Linked DNA regions of Arabidopsis thaliana. The protein of the gene in region 1 interacts with the protein of each later gene in a pairwise test. Each region holds a gene or a part of one and is shown in the gene's direction. Other genes may lie near its edges. The genes, in order: AT2G23070, AT1G15350 and AT3G54880.

Evidence for each region.
Region 2: the proteins of AT2G23070 (region 1) and AT1G15350 interact in a two-hybrid assay, tested with the Arabidopsis thaliana proteins (one large-scale study listed by BioGRID).
Region 3: the proteins of AT2G23070 (region 1) and AT3G54880 interact in a two-hybrid assay, tested with the Arabidopsis thaliana proteins (one large-scale study listed by BioGRID).

What each region holds. Positions count from the first base shown.
Region 1 is NC_003071.7:9,824,535-9,829,681, reverse strand, and holds the start of AT2G23070 (Protein kinase superfamily protein), read left to right. Parts: upstream 1-2,783; 5' UTR 2,784-2,810; coding exon 2,811-3,190; intron 3,191-3,524; coding exon 3,525-3,654; intron 3,655-3,773; coding exon 3,774-3,968; intron 3,969-4,175; coding exon 4,176-4,333; intron 4,334-4,536; coding exon 4,537-4,627; intron 4,628-4,765; coding exon 4,766-4,831; intron 4,832-4,937; coding exon 4,938-5,020; intron 5,021-5,117; coding exon 5,118-5,147. Other genes in the region: AT2G23090 (Uncharacterized protein family SERF), read left to right, coding at 1-25; CKA3 (Protein kinase superfamily protein), read right to left, coding at 339-398, 536-604, 676-739, 858-940, 1,030-1,095, 1,228-1,318, 1,472-1,629, 1,718-1,912 and 2 more. UniProt on the Arabidopsis thaliana protein: Casein kinases are operationally defined by their preferential utilization of acidic proteins such as caseins as substrates. The alpha chain contains the catalytic site. Involved in the regulation of various developmental processes.
Region 2 is NC_003070.9:5,277,653-5,282,799, reverse strand, and holds AT1G15350 (DUF4050 family protein), read left to right. Parts: upstream 1-2,849; 5' UTR 2,850-3,097; intron 3,098-3,195; exon of another isoform or gene 3,196-3,225; 5' UTR 3,226-3,313; coding exon 3,314-3,318; exon of another isoform or gene 3,319-3,493; intron 3,494-3,605; exon of another isoform or gene 3,606-3,610; coding exon 3,611-3,855; intron 3,856-3,945; coding exon 3,946-4,036; intron 4,037-4,124; coding exon 4,125-4,194; intron 4,195-4,265; coding exon 4,266-4,319; 3' UTR 4,320-4,687; downstream 4,688-5,147.
Region 3 is NC_003074.8:20,336,898-20,342,044, reverse strand, and holds the start of AT3G54880 (zinc finger protein), read left to right. Parts: upstream 1-3,446; 5' UTR 3,447-3,644; intron 3,645-4,039; 5' UTR 4,040-4,077; intron 4,078-4,164; 5' UTR 4,165-4,258; coding exon 4,259-4,388; intron 4,389-4,557; coding exon 4,558-4,645; intron 4,646-4,750; coding exon 4,751-4,817; intron 4,818-4,913; coding exon 4,914-4,967; 3' UTR 4,968-5,147. Other genes in the region: CXIP1 (CAX interacting protein 1), read left to right, coding at 1-195; LHCA1 (chlorophyll a-b binding protein 6), read left to right, coding at 1,123-1,313, 1,627-1,729, 1,817-2,105, 2,197-2,339.

The sequences.
Region 1 (5,147 bases):
TTGTTTCCCTCACCTCAAGAAGTGATGAAAGCTATTATCTCAACTATAAAGGATTCCAATGTATAACGTATGGATCCTCATCTTTCCTATGTTTGTATCAAAGTCTCGACAAATTTTATGGTTTCTATTTCTCTCTACTTGTTTCAACAATAAGTCTCTTGCTATGATTATATAATGAAGCTTTGTGTGGAACCTTTTTTTTTAATATAAGTTGGCTTCTTTTCGCTGTTGATTATGTTTCTATGAAAGTAAAGATTACCACAATTTTGATACAACAAAATCATTACAAAGTTTTTGGTTGAAAAATAGTAGTAAGCATCATCAATCAAGCTTCGGTTTTACTGAGTTCGTAGTCTGCTGCTCTCTGCGGCTTTAACTTGAGCGAAGTATGGATGATCCTATAGATCAATAGAGAAACCAGAGATTATAAGTTTGACTTGATCATCGGGTAAAACAAAATCAAAAGATGTGTGCACATGAAGATCATCGGGTAAAACAAAATCAAAAGATGTGTGCACATGAAGAGGATTTTTACCATGGCTTCTCTTGCGGTTAATCTGTCTTGATGATCATACTGAAGAAGCTTATCGAGAAAATCAATTGCCTAAAGATGTATACAATGAGTCAATACACCCAGAACGAAGCAAAACTATGTTTTTCGAAAAAGAGTAGTACCTCAGGTGAGACCAAATGTTGGTTGTCCGCGTTGATAAACTTGGACCATGGTTTGGGGACATGTCTACAAATAAGAGTGACTTCAGGTTTTAACTCATTGGTATAAAATTAACTGAGCCAGAGTTGAGAACAGCAACAATTTTGACTTTTAAAGACAGAGAGATTCAGGGATGGAATAAAACCTTCCAACAAGTGCTTCCAGTTGAGGGTCAAGATCTAGCTGATATTTGTTTAGGTAATGATCTAACTCATTGGTTCCCAACACCTATGCACACGTTTCAATCAGAAATCATATACATGGATTTAAGTTTACAATGTAATTTTATGCCAATAAGTCATAGACTAGCAATATACCTTGGCAATTTTGACAAGTTGATCATGATTATCATGGCCATAAAAGAACGGTTCCTTACGGAATATCTGCAGCATCAATATTTGACAAGTGAATAAGCAACAGCAAAGTATTAACGACTACCATTCGGAAATTCAAATGCTTGCAATAGCTTCAGCATTGAAGCTAGAGAGAAGAGTGAGGGGATTATTAGTTCTCACCATGCCAGCAAACATGCAACCAAGACTCCACATGTCTAAAGAATAGTCATAATCCTGTAGATCAACTAAAAGCTCGGGACCCTTGAAGTATCTGGCAATTAATTCACAGGTTTTTAGTCTAATGCATTTAACAACTACAAGAAGCTTTGATTGCACAGCTAAAAGTTTCAATCATTGGCATCTACGAATGACCCTCTTAGGCTTGCCAAGACAGGTGGAATTAAGCTGTGGTATCGGATATTACCTCGAGGCCACGCGAACATTATACTCTTTTCCGGGATGGTAAAACTCAGCAAGGCCCCAATCTATCAGACGAAGTTTACGCAGCTGATGATCTATCATGACATTATGAGGCTTAACATCCCTATGCATTATTCCTTGAGAGTGACAGAAATCCAATGCCTGAAATGCAATAACATCAGCTCTGGATTCCACGATAAACATTTGTATGTACGGTAAAAGTCATTTATGGTAAATACCGATACATTACCTTCAGAAGCTCATAAATATAGTACCGGATATCGTAATCAGTCAATGTTGGATACAATACTTTAAAGTCCACACTGTTGACAAACTCAAATACCAAGCTAGGTGTTTTGGAGTGCTCATCTCTAACAATATCATACAGCTTAACAATATTTGGTCCACCACATAGGTTCTGAAGTATTTTGATCTCTCTCTTTATCTGCATAACATCAAGTTTCAGCAAAATTAGCCATCTTTATGTATGCAAATTCATCAGAAATGAGTTCTACTAACTGATCACCTTCTTCTTTTTTACGGGTTTGAGGATCTTGATAACGCAACGCTCATTCGTATTGACGTTTTTGCCTTCGAAAACTTCACTGTATTTTCCTCTACCAACTTTTCTCACAACCTCATAATCATCTTGATGACTGAAGAATCACACAAAAGTATTTAAGAATCTCACACTGTTGAATTTCAAAATCCAATATTTGCTAATAGATACTTAAAACAAAGTGTCTTCAAGAGACCTAAGTCCAAACCCTAAAAAATTCCAATTTCTCTGATTTCGAATTCGATTTGGCAACAAATCAATCAAATTCCACCGAAAATTTATCAAAAAGAAGTCAAAAATCGTAAATTCATCAAAGAAAAATTCTAAAGCTAGAAGTTTTACCCCCATTGAACAACGAGAGACTCGTAGTCCCAATACTCTTTAGGACGAACAACGTTAACATCTGTATAAACCCTAGCTTTCGACATCAATTTCGATCTGAAAAAATGGAGAAATTTGCGATCGCAATCTTCTCTTTGATCGTCAGGTTTGTTTCAAGTGGACGATGATGATGACAACAGAAGAAGTGCGTTGTGCAGGATTAGAAAAAGGTTGAAGAAGAATCTCTGATACCCAAAAACCACCTAAACCAAATCGAACCGATTCAACCACACTCGAACCGAAACAAACCCAATCGGATCGATTTCAATCACACTATAACCGGACCGAATTGTTTAAACGACATCGTTTCGAAGAGAAGCCAAAGAAAAAGAAAGGAGAGAAATAAAGCAAATTCGTTACCTTCACTTTTCATTTTCTGAATAAGAGTTAAAAAAAGACATTAATGGCCTTAAGGCCTTGTACTGGATTCACAATCTCCTCTCTTCGCAACGCTTCCGCCGCCAACAACAATCTCTTCTCTCTCCTCTCCTTCTCTTCGTCGTCTCCGGCGAAGAGGAATCTTCTTCTCTCTTCGCTCCAGGACAATCTCCGTCGTTTCGCATCCAGCGCTTCTCTTTACCGTCAACATCTCCGGAATCAACAACAACAACATCAGCAACAACAGCAATCGCGCGTGAAAGAAAAATCAGAAACGCTGGCTCAGAAGATCGGTAAATCTATCCGGCGTGCCGGTGCGCCGTCGAAAGCTAGGGTTTACGCTGATGTCAACGTTGTTAGACCTAAGGACTATTGGGATTACGAGTCCCTTGCTGTTCAATGGGGGTATATCTTCAGATTCTTCTCTAATTAAACCTAATTACGTCGATTTCTAGATGTTTGCCTTTGGTTATAGATTGGTTTGGGATTGGTTGTTCTGGAATCAATGTGGAATGTAGATTTAGGGTTTCGTTTCATATTTTTGATTGATGATATAATCTCGTAAGTAATGCAGAATTGGTATCTGATTTGTTTGTATTGGTATCTGTTTTGTTTGTATATAATCTCTTGAAAATTGCTGGTCTATGTGAACTAGATTGTTGAATTGATATCTTGAGTTTGTATGGTGTTGTTACTGTTTGGTGTATTAGTGTTTGAGTTAGCTTCATTGATGCCGCAGTGTACAGGATGATTATGAGGTGGTGAGGAAGGTAGGAAGGGGAAAATACAGTGAGGTCTTTGAAGGCATTCATGCTACTGATAACGAGAAATGTGTTATCAAGATTTTGAAGCCTGTGAAGAAGAAGAAGGTGAGTAGATACAGCCGCTTGCTTGTTTTTATCTCAATTGTGCTCAGAATGAAGTGTGTTTCTGGCCCTTCACTTGGTTTGAATTATTCTCTAACATATTTTGCTTCTCCTTGACGCAGATTAAGAGAGAGATTAAGATTCTGCAGAACCTCTGCGGTGGGCCTAATATTGTAAAATTGCTCGACATTGTTAGAGATCAGCAGTCTAAGACGCCCAGCTTGATATTTGAACATGTGAACAATAAAGATTTCAAAGTTCTCTATCCAACTCTCTCAGACTATGATGTTCGATATTACATTTTTGAACTTCTAAAGGTAATTATTCAGTTTCCTGAATTGTAGACCATGATTTTCTTTGCGGCTTTGGCAATTGGCAAAAGTAATCGGTAGATATATCATAGATGTATAGCGTCATACACTGTTGTTTACCTTACTTGACTTTTGAATCCACTAGCCTTCAGTTATAAAGGGTACGAATTTGTTTCTGATGCTGTTTGTTGTTTCTTTTTAACATTTATGCAGGCGTTGGATTTCTGCCATTCACGTGGAATCATGCACAGAGATGTGAAACCACATAATGTCATGATTGATCACGAGCAGCGAAAACTTCGTTTAATTGACTGGGGTTTGGCAGAATTCTATCATCCTGGGAAAGAATACAATGTCCGTGTTGCTTCAAGGTAGTTCCTTTTGGCTATCTGCTAATCTCTCCTCTGCAAGATTCTATTTGTTGCAGTTGCTAAATTTCTGCTCATAGAGAGTCTAGATAAGAAATGTTGAAGATTGCATGCATTGAGCTCTTGAGATTAGTTGAAACATATTATCTAACTTCGTCTAGCTGATGTATACTATTATCATTTCTCACTTCATATTTGATGAGCAGGTACTTTAAGGGTCCAGAGCTGCTGGTGGATTTACAGGACTATGATTATTCCTTAGACCTATGGAGTCTTGGGTGTATGTTTGCTGGAATGGTAAGCGTTTTAAGCTAGAATTTAGTTAACTTGGTTTAAGCTGTAATGGAATGACAAGAATTCGACAGTACATTTTGGTTATTTTACCATTCCTTAAGTTAGTTAAGTGGTGAATATTGTATACTCTACTGTTTGCAGATATTCCGCAAGGAGCCGTTCTTTTATGGCCATGACAACTATGATCAATTGGTCAAAATTGCGAAGGTAACATTACAAAAGCTTTCATCATGTCTCGTCTCCTCTGAACAGATTTTACATTCCTCCAAGTTATAGCTAAAAATACGATTCTATGTATTTATAACTATGGCAGGTGCTTGGCACAGATGAACTCAACGCCTACCTAAACAAATACCGTATAGAGTTGGACCCTAATCTAACATCCCTCGTGGGCAGGTAATCCGGTTTAAAAAGTTATGAAAAACTCTAAAAACTCCAGTTTTGCGCCTTATCATTTCAGAACATTAAATTATGCACTCTTGATTTTATATAGACATAGCCGGAAGCCATGGACAAAGTTCAT
Region 2 (5,147 bases), on another chromosome or scaffold:
TATAACACATGCAATGTATAAAACAACATACATAGAGGGGAAAAGTGATTATATAATTAGACATTGACAACATGCATGTACAAGTTAAAAAGTAAAAGGACAAAAAAAATAAAAATTAAAAGGTGGTCCATGTACATGTATATTGTGTAATTAGTAGAATGTTTTGTCCACATATCTAGTTGATTGTCGTACCCATAGCCTAAGCCCTAACTGTCAGATTGGGTCCAGATTAAGGCTGTTTAGGTGTCAATCTCATATCTATTTGCTTTTAATTTTTGAGCAAACATCTTTAACCTAATGTATGCTTATATTTAATATACAATATAATATGGTTTATACATTTTTGTTTTTGAGGTGCTAATTTGGTGGTGGCTTGTTATCATAGGGTCCCCACTTCCCTGAGTCCATGACCGATATTTCATAATTATAGTCTCTTCCATTAACTCTTGTTCATACTTGTGTTTGGAACTTGCATATCACTATTCCTTTCAATTATCTAGCCTTTAAATTATTATTTTGTTTCTCTTTATTTTTGTTGTAGACTTTTGTAGCTACTTAAAGATTGAATGATTGATGATAGTACTCCTGTAATTTGGAATACATGTTTTTCTTTTCTTTTTGGTTTTATTGTATTATTTTTCGAATCCATCAGCCTAGTTAATTTCATACTGCTAAAATTTACGTATAGTGTTTATTTAAATGCCAGATATTTTAACGAAAAAAAAAATTGTTGATCTTTTCAAACACGAAAATCACGTGATTGAATGTCCGAAATAGTCGATAGAATAAGAAAATTAACTTGCAAGAGGCCAACGATGTTTCAACCAAAAGGCAAAAGTTTCCTAACCGCGAATTTAACGGGTTTATGAATCTCCTTTTCTGGTACTCTCTTACGTATGCACGTGTCCTCATGTGTGGACCAAATAGCCCGATTATTTCAAAATGGGCCTTTATTGGGCCATACTGATGTCCACAATGAATGTAAAGAAGTTAGGTTTTACAGCAACGGCGCGAAGAACAGTCAACCCCGAAATAGAAGTGATCAAATGCCAGCAAATGCCACCTTAAATTTCTCCACAAGAAACCGTTTCCTTCTTCTGTATTCAACTCTGATCAACGGCCATTCGTTCAAATTTACTAAATTCAAAGATGTTTGTTTTGTGTTCACTTTCAAAACTTCTCCATAAATTGTTTTGTTTTTCATTTTCTAGTTCCTTAAGAACCGAATGAAAATGACATGTTTCCGTCTCCAATAGGTCGAATTCACAAGACACCAAGAATTATGCAATATTGGATTCATCTTTGATTAGTCTTGTCCAAATTATCTTGGCACTGTGCTTGGATGCAAAAGAGTGGATATTGCTTGTGCTAATGGCTTCAAGGATCCAGCTTTCACCGAAGTTGTAGTATCGGTGGGACTAGAACATCATCTGTTCATGTAAGAAAAATTAATTGCTTTCATAGTTTATCAGCCATGGAATCGAATCCGTGAATCACTGCGAAATGTTTTGAAAGATTAACAACCGGAAAAGTGAACTGATAAGAGCTTTATATGTGAGTATGAGTGGTAACAGAATGATTACAAGACCTGCGAGGGAAATCTTCCTAACATCATCATCTCTGTCTTTTTCTTCAATGTCTTCCTCTGTTTCATGGGATGATGCCGTAGAGAGAAGTACAAAAGAGTCCAAAGCATCTTCTGAGGATACGAGTCAGCAGAATTGGGAACTTTCAAATGCTTCTTCTTCTAAAGGCTCTGACATATCAGGTGTGACTCATGTCAGGATGCAGCCTTCTTCTTCTTCTCAAGGCTCTGAAATATCTGGTTTGACTCATCTCAGGATGCAACCAGCTCCATCTCCGCCTTCTAGGTTACGACCAGTTCACTTGATGAATAATGGTATAGCGAATTACGATCCCGGGAGAATCCCTGCATCGGTGTTTAGTAAGAATGGGGATGTGGATTGGAGCGAAATATCAAATGAGTCTTTGTTTAGTCTGAAAATTGATGGCTATAGAAAGTCAAACGCTCAAGGGTCTCGTCACAGTAATTTAAAACCTGATGAAGTTTTGATGTCGGGTGAGTTCTTGAGATATTCCCCTTCTCTGGTAGTCAAACCTGAGGATGCAAAAGAGAAAACATCTGAAGTGGAAGAGGTAAAGAATAATGAAGAAACAAGACTTCAGAGTCACAATCATCGAGAGAAATACCCGTCATTTCCAGATGTCCCATTGAGTAGTATCCCCAACAACTTCTATTGCTTATACGCGCCGCGGACAAAACCTGTGTCTTTTTCCCTTCCTGTGGGTGAGAAAAAGAGTATGAAGAGAAAGAAGAGAAGAAAGAACAAGAAGAAGAAGAATAAAAAGGAGAAGAAGAAGAAGAAGTGTTGCACTTGCATGTGGACTTGGTTGTGCTCAGTATTTTCAAAGTGAGTGTGTGACTTGCGTTGCTCTACAAATGGAGAAAGTGTGGCTGCTGCTGCAAGCAAACAATGTTTTTGTAATCATGAGAGTTATGTATTGACATTTAAACAACTATCTTTATTTGCATCCTTAATGCTTAATGTATTCTTACGCTAATGGTTAACAGTTTTCTTCTATGCTTTGATTCCAGACTATTATTTATTTCATTATAGAAAATGATAATGTATTACGAATACAAGCTGTATGGGAAAAATATGATGAGTGGGGTTGATTATAAGACAATGGATTGGAGAGGCATGGAAGATGCACAATTATTTTGACTTTTAATAATAAGCTCATACCAAACACACTATCTATATACATTATACACATTCGTCAATTATCAAGTTGTTCGAATTATTACAAGTTCTTTGATTTGGTTGATTAAAATTACAATAATACCCTCAATGCCAAGAGATCCGTATAACGGCTGGGGGATGAATAATAACTTCTCTGGTCATCGAAACAAAGGCAAATCATTTCAAAGCGAAAGGAAAAGGAGAAACGTAAAGAGGGCAAAGCCCTTCTTCTTCTTGTTCGAGAAGGAGCTGCAGCCTCAGATAAGGATTCTTTTGATGCCCAGTTGATAAAGGAAGCGACTTTATTTTAACCAACGAGATTTTATCATCAGGTAAGCAAAGCTGTTTGATTCGTTGATTCTTTTGTATATATTGAATATGTTTTTGTTCGCTGTTGATTGGTTTCTTCTTTGGCTTTTATCTATAATAGGGTTGGTTAATTGGTTTGTTATTTGACAAGGATCATTGATCACCCTCTTGAGAACATCTCGAGCTTTCCCAGATCTATCTGAGCTCCTGGGTTTATAAATCGCTTCCTTCACATATCGATGGGGTGCGTTTCTTCTTCCGATTTCTGTTTTTGACTTTATGCAGAATGTTTTGGTATTTGATTGATTTGGATTTGAGATTCTGTTTGATGGGCTTTGTTCCTGCGTTATGTGCTGCTTGGGATTCATGTTCATGATAGATAAACCCTAATTTTATTGCTGGGGAATGGTGTTTATAAGGTTGTTTTATGCAGATGAGATAGCTATCTCTGAAAGTTTTATAGAAAAATGTTTTGCTAAGGAAATAAGGATGTTTTTTGGGCAATGATCAAAAGTTATGGTTTTGTAACAGAGCAGTGGCTGCGTGGGTTGCTACAGAGAACACAGATCAACTGCCGCCAGTCTGAAGGATCCACCTTCCAATTCCATTGCTCGACCGTGTAAGAAACCGAGTGTCTCTGAAGATTTCTGGTCAACAAGCACAGTTGATATGGACAACATCACCTTCCCTTCACAGGGGAGCTTATCATCATCCAATCAGACTTTTGATTCTCAATCTGCTGCTAGAAACTCTAATGCTCCTCCTGAATATGTAAATCAAGGTACTTTCTTTTTTGGATTTCACGGAAGGGGAGCGTTGTGGTCTAGTGTTTTGTGATGGTTATATATGAAGTGGGTTTGTGTGTTTGCAGGTCTTCTTCTTTGGAATCAGACACGGGAGCGTTGGGTGGGAAAGGATAAACCCAACAACCCGGTGGATCACAATCAAGGAGCCAAGTTAAAGTGAGTGGCTCTGTTACACACTATTGTTTGCTGAAAGCTAAGGGCTAAAGTCTGGCAATGTTACATTTTATATGTCTATCATTTGCAGTTGGAACACAGCAACGTATGATAGCTTGCTGGGGAGCAACAAGTTATTTCCCCAACCCATTCCTCTCACCGTAAGTAATCAAACTCCTCCGAGTGCAGGAAAAAAACCCAGTCAACTAACTGTGTTACTGATTGAAAACAGGAAATGGTGGATTTTCTAGTGGACATTTGGGAACAAGAAGGTCTATATGACTGAACAAGACTTGGAAGACACACACACATACTGGTTCGGGCATTTCTGATTTATTTTTTCTTTTCGGTTTTCTTTTCTTTTCTCAAAGCCCTTGTTGTTACCACTTATCATCTTCCATTTGGAGTTGATCGAGAATACTGGGAAATGTGGCTTATACGTTTTCACCGTAAATGAGAAATATCCTTTGTTTACCATCTTTCAGTCCAAAAGAATTAAGAGCAATATCTCGGTTTGACTAATCAGTATCTTAATATGGGACATGTTCTTGTGTATTTTTGTTTTGTTTTGTTAAGGACATGTTCTTGTGTCTCATGTCCCACTTGCACATTGATCCTACCTTCCAGGTGATCTGTCCAGTGTTTGATTTCCACATATATGTACATTTTATTTTAATAAAATGATTAGAGGACATTCCTTAAATTAGTGCTCTTCACTAATTATTAGGGATTAGACTTGTGCCAACAAGAGAATCTGAACCTAAAAGTATCAAAGCAAAAAAAATGTTCCGAATAGTAATTGGGCTGTTGATTTGGGCTTTTAGCATGGAGAGTAGTAGTAGGAGAGTGGGAATAAAACAGAAAAAGAATATTCGGCGTGAAAACAGCAGCGGTCACGTACCGGACCTCAACACCACTCTCCATTCTACTTTATTAAGCGGGAAACAGATACTTCCTTATCCATCGATGAAACGTCGACCACACTGGATACGTGTCGTTCTCAAAGAGGTCTGTCACTAAACTATCACGTCGACCCAGTGTAAATTTATCATCCACGCTCTCGTGGATTACGTGGAGGAAGAAATATCATTTCTTGTTTGAAATAAAAAAAGAA
Region 3 (5,147 bases), on another chromosome or scaffold:
CTGAATGTTCCTTTCGAAGATGTGAATATTCTGGAGAATGAGATGTTGAGGCAAGGACTTAAAGAGTATTCGAATTGGCCGACGTTTCCTCAGCTTTATATCGGCGGTGAGTTTTTCGGTGGTTGTGATATTACTCTTGAGGCGTTTAAGACTGGAGAATTGCAGGAAGAGGTGGAGAAAGCTATGTGCTCTTGATCCTGATTTCAATACTTGGTTTTTGTGATGATGGAATTTGATCTTATCTATCTATCTATCACCTGGGAAAAAAAATGTGATTTTGATGTTTCAGAGTTTGTGGTTGTAACATTAAGAGACATATATTGTATGATGGATTTAGGTATACAACAGTTGGAGTTGCTTGGAATTTGAGTTTCCTTTGTCATATGTGTTGGCCTGCAAATTTGTGTTGTTTGTTGAAAGGTTTATGTGTGAAGTAGTGCTAGTAGAATCTAAGTTTGTTTCTGACTAAGAGACATGAAGTCATGGGTTGTTATGCTCATTCATATCCTGATTGAGATACAATTTAAAGAAACTTAGTTCCAAAGATTCTGAACATTCACCGGTACAGTGTGTCTGCAAATGGTATTCTGTCTCACTTCAATGTCTAAACACGTTGTCTCAAAATGTATCGTTTGTTAGATACTCCTTTCAAGACATATGATTTAGCCTCGCATGTGTTCGTTGATCCAAGTTTTACCGGTTTGATAAGTCTCCAGTCTTAGCAATAAATCCAGACCGGATTCATGACCAATCGCAGATTTACCGGTCCGGGTCAAGTTTTAAAACATTAGTAGAAATGTGTTTCACCGAACAGGAAGACTTATCTGATAGCATCTCGTTGCAGTGGATAAATGGCAAAATAGTAATATACGTAGATTCTGCTTTTATCTGAACCACATAGTGCAGATGGATATCGAACAGAAGAACATGATATCGAGAAGACACGTGGCCCAATGAAAAAGCCACGCAGGCTCTGTATAGCCAATTGCAATCTGGTTTTAGATTCTCATCTCACAAATCTTACTTATACGATCAGTCTCCCACATTCACACTTCCACCAAACACCTCTCGTCCACATCTTTCTCCTTTGGTGGCAAACACAACGACAGATAGAGAGAAACGATGGCGTCGAACTCGCTTATGAGCTGTGGCATAGCCGCCGTGTACCCTTCGCTTCTCTCTTCTTCCAAGTCTAAATTCGTATCCGCCGGAGTTCCACTCCCAAACGCCGGGAATGTTGGTCGTATCAGAATGGCTGCTCACTGGATGCCTGGCGAGCCACGACCAGCTTACCTTGACGGTTCTGCTCCTGGGTACGCTTCGAACCCTTTTACTCTGTTTTGTTGCTCAGTTTGGAATCAGAATTGTTTGTTAGATTACTCTGTTTTGATGACATGATGCAACATTGTACGTTTTGTGAAAGATTCAATTTTTTTTATGTTATTGGGTATTCATATTTCAGAAAGTTGTCTCCTTTCAGAATTTGAATTCCCTTTAGTTGTGTATTCAGAGATTCTAGATAGATTACTGGAACCTCTTTTGATGACTTAAGGGTTCTGATTTCAACATTGGAGGTTGTTTAGAAAGTTTCAGTTTTTCTAAGTTATTGGGTACAACATTGTGCAGTGACTTTGGGTTTGACCCACTTGGACTTGGAGAAGTTCCAGCGAACCTTGAGAGATACAAAGAGTCAGAGCTCATCCACTGTAGATGGGCTATGCTCGCTGTTGTAAGTTTCAATATCCAATCTTTGTCTTATCATAAGGGTTTAGTCTTGTTAAGTTTAATCTAATGGACTTGGTGGGTGGTGTTGTAGCCTGGGATTTTGGTACCAGAAGCATTAGGATATGGAAACTGGGTTAAGGCTCAGGAATGGGCAGCACTACCAGGGGGTCAAGCCACTTACTTGGGAAACCCAGTCCCGTGGGGTACTTTGCCCACAATCTTGGCCATTGAGTTCTTAGCCATTGCATTTGTTGAGCACCAGAGAAGTATGGAGAAAGACCCTGAGAAGAAGAAGTACCCGGGAGGCGCATTTGACCCTCTTGGATACTCGAAGGACCCCAAGAAGCTCGAGGAATTGAAAGTTAAAGAGATCAAGAACGGTAAGCACACACAACAACTTACCTTTCTTGATCAAACTTATGTACAAATGTATATCTAATGTTGGTGTTTTTTGCTTGGTGGGTGTAACAGGGCGGCTTGCGCTGTTGGCGTTTGTAGGATTCTGTGTGCAACAGTCGGCTTACCCGGGGACAGGACCATTGGAGAACTTGGCAACTCACTTGGCGGATCCATGGCACAACAACATTGGCGATATTGTTATCCCTTTCAACTAATGAATGTAAAAATAGAAATATGTGTACCTTATGAGCTTTATGTGTATCAAAAACACTGTGTAATGAAAGACAGATTTGTGAATTCCTGTAATTTGTCTTGGTGATCGAATGCTCGTGTGAGCTTGAATTCTAAGTGATGAACCTTTTGAACCCAAATACACATTACATCTCATGCTTCCTACAGAAGAAACATTGTAAGCTCATGACTATTTGTTAGATTTCTCAACAATCACATTCACATACTATAAACTCCATAACAGAAGAAACATTGTTAGCTCATGATTATTTGTTAGAGTTCTCAACTCTATCCAAATATGCTTTTTGTTTATATCAACTTAGATAAATGGTTATTGAACCACACCAAGATACATGCATTTTACATTTGAGTTTTGATGAATATTTTCTATTCATCTTTTTTCCCCCTCATTTTTACCTTCTACATTTTTTCATATTGAACAAAAACAATCCTGTTAATTTTCTTCCCTCTCTTTTCTAGTAAAATCATTTAAGGATTTTTTTTGAAATTAGTTGATGTCTTTCTTATCACATTTGTTCTATACTTCTACTAATTTTTCTTTTGTTCTTTTGCATACTAATCTTCACCTACAAAATAGAGTACTCTCTAAACAGAGTCTTGGAAAGTTTTGTCTTCCTTTTATATTCTCAACTATAAAGTTTAAATGAGACATAGTTCTAGAAAATAACATCTTTGACATTCAATGGTTCCCTTAATTATATATTGAGCTAGAATTTGAAGAAAAATCAATACCACATTAATGTTTACAGATTTTAATTCATATATGGCTTAGTATTCTATTATTATATGATTTTCTCAATTTAATTCATTAAAATCAAGTAATCAGAATTTCAAATAATTTATTTTATATTTCAAAAAACTTAAAGAAAACTTTAGATTTGACATGTGACAAAATTTTCACCATTCTCTTCCAATATAATAAAGAATGGAGCTATCTTCCTAATCATATCCACGTAAGATTGAGATAGAAACTTGAGCTGCGTGGGGCATGCTTAATTTTTTCTGTCTCATTGACCCAAAGATATATCTGTATTCTAGTGGATACATACATTATTTACTCATTACCAACTACAAGTAAACTCCTTTAATTAATTTTTAAATTCTATATTTGGCTCATAAATTATTCCTTTTTAAAATTTATTTTTAGTTGATTTTTCATTGCCTACTCAAGATCTAAAATTTTCCTTTACATATAAAACCTAAAAGAAAACATATAATGCAGTTTCAATCCCTCTACCAAATTTTCTGTTGATACTTTCCTCATTAAGGTAATCATTCCTCTATCCTCTACTTTTCTTATGTAGCAAACTTTCTCTTTCTATCATGAATTTTGGTTTCTCCTTAGAATCTTTTTGGATCTTGAATGCTTCTGATCTGTTTTATTTGGATCTTTAAAAATATATTCTTCACCGGAAATGCCATTGTTTTAATCTCAATACATTTCTTAAGGAGATAGAACTAGTTCTTTGATTGAAAAATCTCTGTTTTGTTGCCTTAGAGATGAATGAAGATTTTAATGAATGTAAACCCAATGCGTTAAAAAAGGAAAGATGTTTTTTTTTCTTCTTTTGCTATGAGTTTGGTGTATATGGTTTGAATCTTTCTTTCATAACGTATTGTTTTCTGAGAAATCTGGTATGTTTTGTTTTCTTGAATCTTCTAGGGTTTTCCACATAGCTGATTGATGAAAATGTCAATGAGGTAAATTAAACCAACCCTTTCTTGTAACAGTTTTCATGATTTTTGAAATGGGGTTTTAATTGGTTTCTTGTTGTTTCTTTATAGCAGCTTGTGTGGAAACCTTTGATGTTTTTTTGTATGTGGATGTGAATTGGTATACTCGGGTTTATTCGTAAAGGAATGATCATTCGATTGAATAAGAATGGAGCTTTATACTGCAAATTGTCTGTCCACCGAAAACAAACCTACTCTTGAGCTTTCAAAACTAGTCAAAGACGAGAAAAGCTCGGTGAAAACGAACAGCGAAAACACCCTTACACTTGTGAATCATGGTACATTCCACACCTCAGCTTAAGAAGATGACTAACTCTTATTATTGCCACATTGTGTTACCTTACCTCTGTTTTTGGGTGACACCGCCGGATATTTTAACTTGTTGGCTCTGTAATTTGATATTTGATGTTCTTGAACACTATCTATAAGGATCTTTCTTGATTACAGGTGCAAAGATGTGGCAAGAGAACAGGGAAAAATGGGTGGGAGATCAATCTCGACAAAGAAAAAACACTGCAAAGGATCAGATTATAAGGTATTATGTGTTTCATCAACCTTTAAGTTCATCTGACAATCTTTTTGCAGTGTCAAAGAATCAAAGAAGGCAATGTTTTCTAAGATGTTCTTGAATCTCTTGCAGCTGGTCTACTACATATGAAGATCTTCTCTCAACTCATGAACCTTTCTCTGAGTCGATTCCTTTACCCGTAAGCTTTAATCTAATCCCAATATCTACCTTGACTTAAAAAAAGGAACCTACAATCATTCTCAATTCCTGAATTTTCCATTTGATCTTTATGTAGGAGATGGTGGACTTTCTTGTCGATATTTGGTACGATGAAGGCCTTTACGATTAGAAGAATCTAACAATGCCACGAACTAGATTGACAAAGAACAAAGGAGAGATTCAATTATGGTATGAAATTAAATCTTTAGGAGTTGTGAAAACATTTACAGATATGATGAACTATCTATTTGTTATATCCATATACTGTATCATGAGAAAAAGACTGACTACTCATATACTCCACATCTTT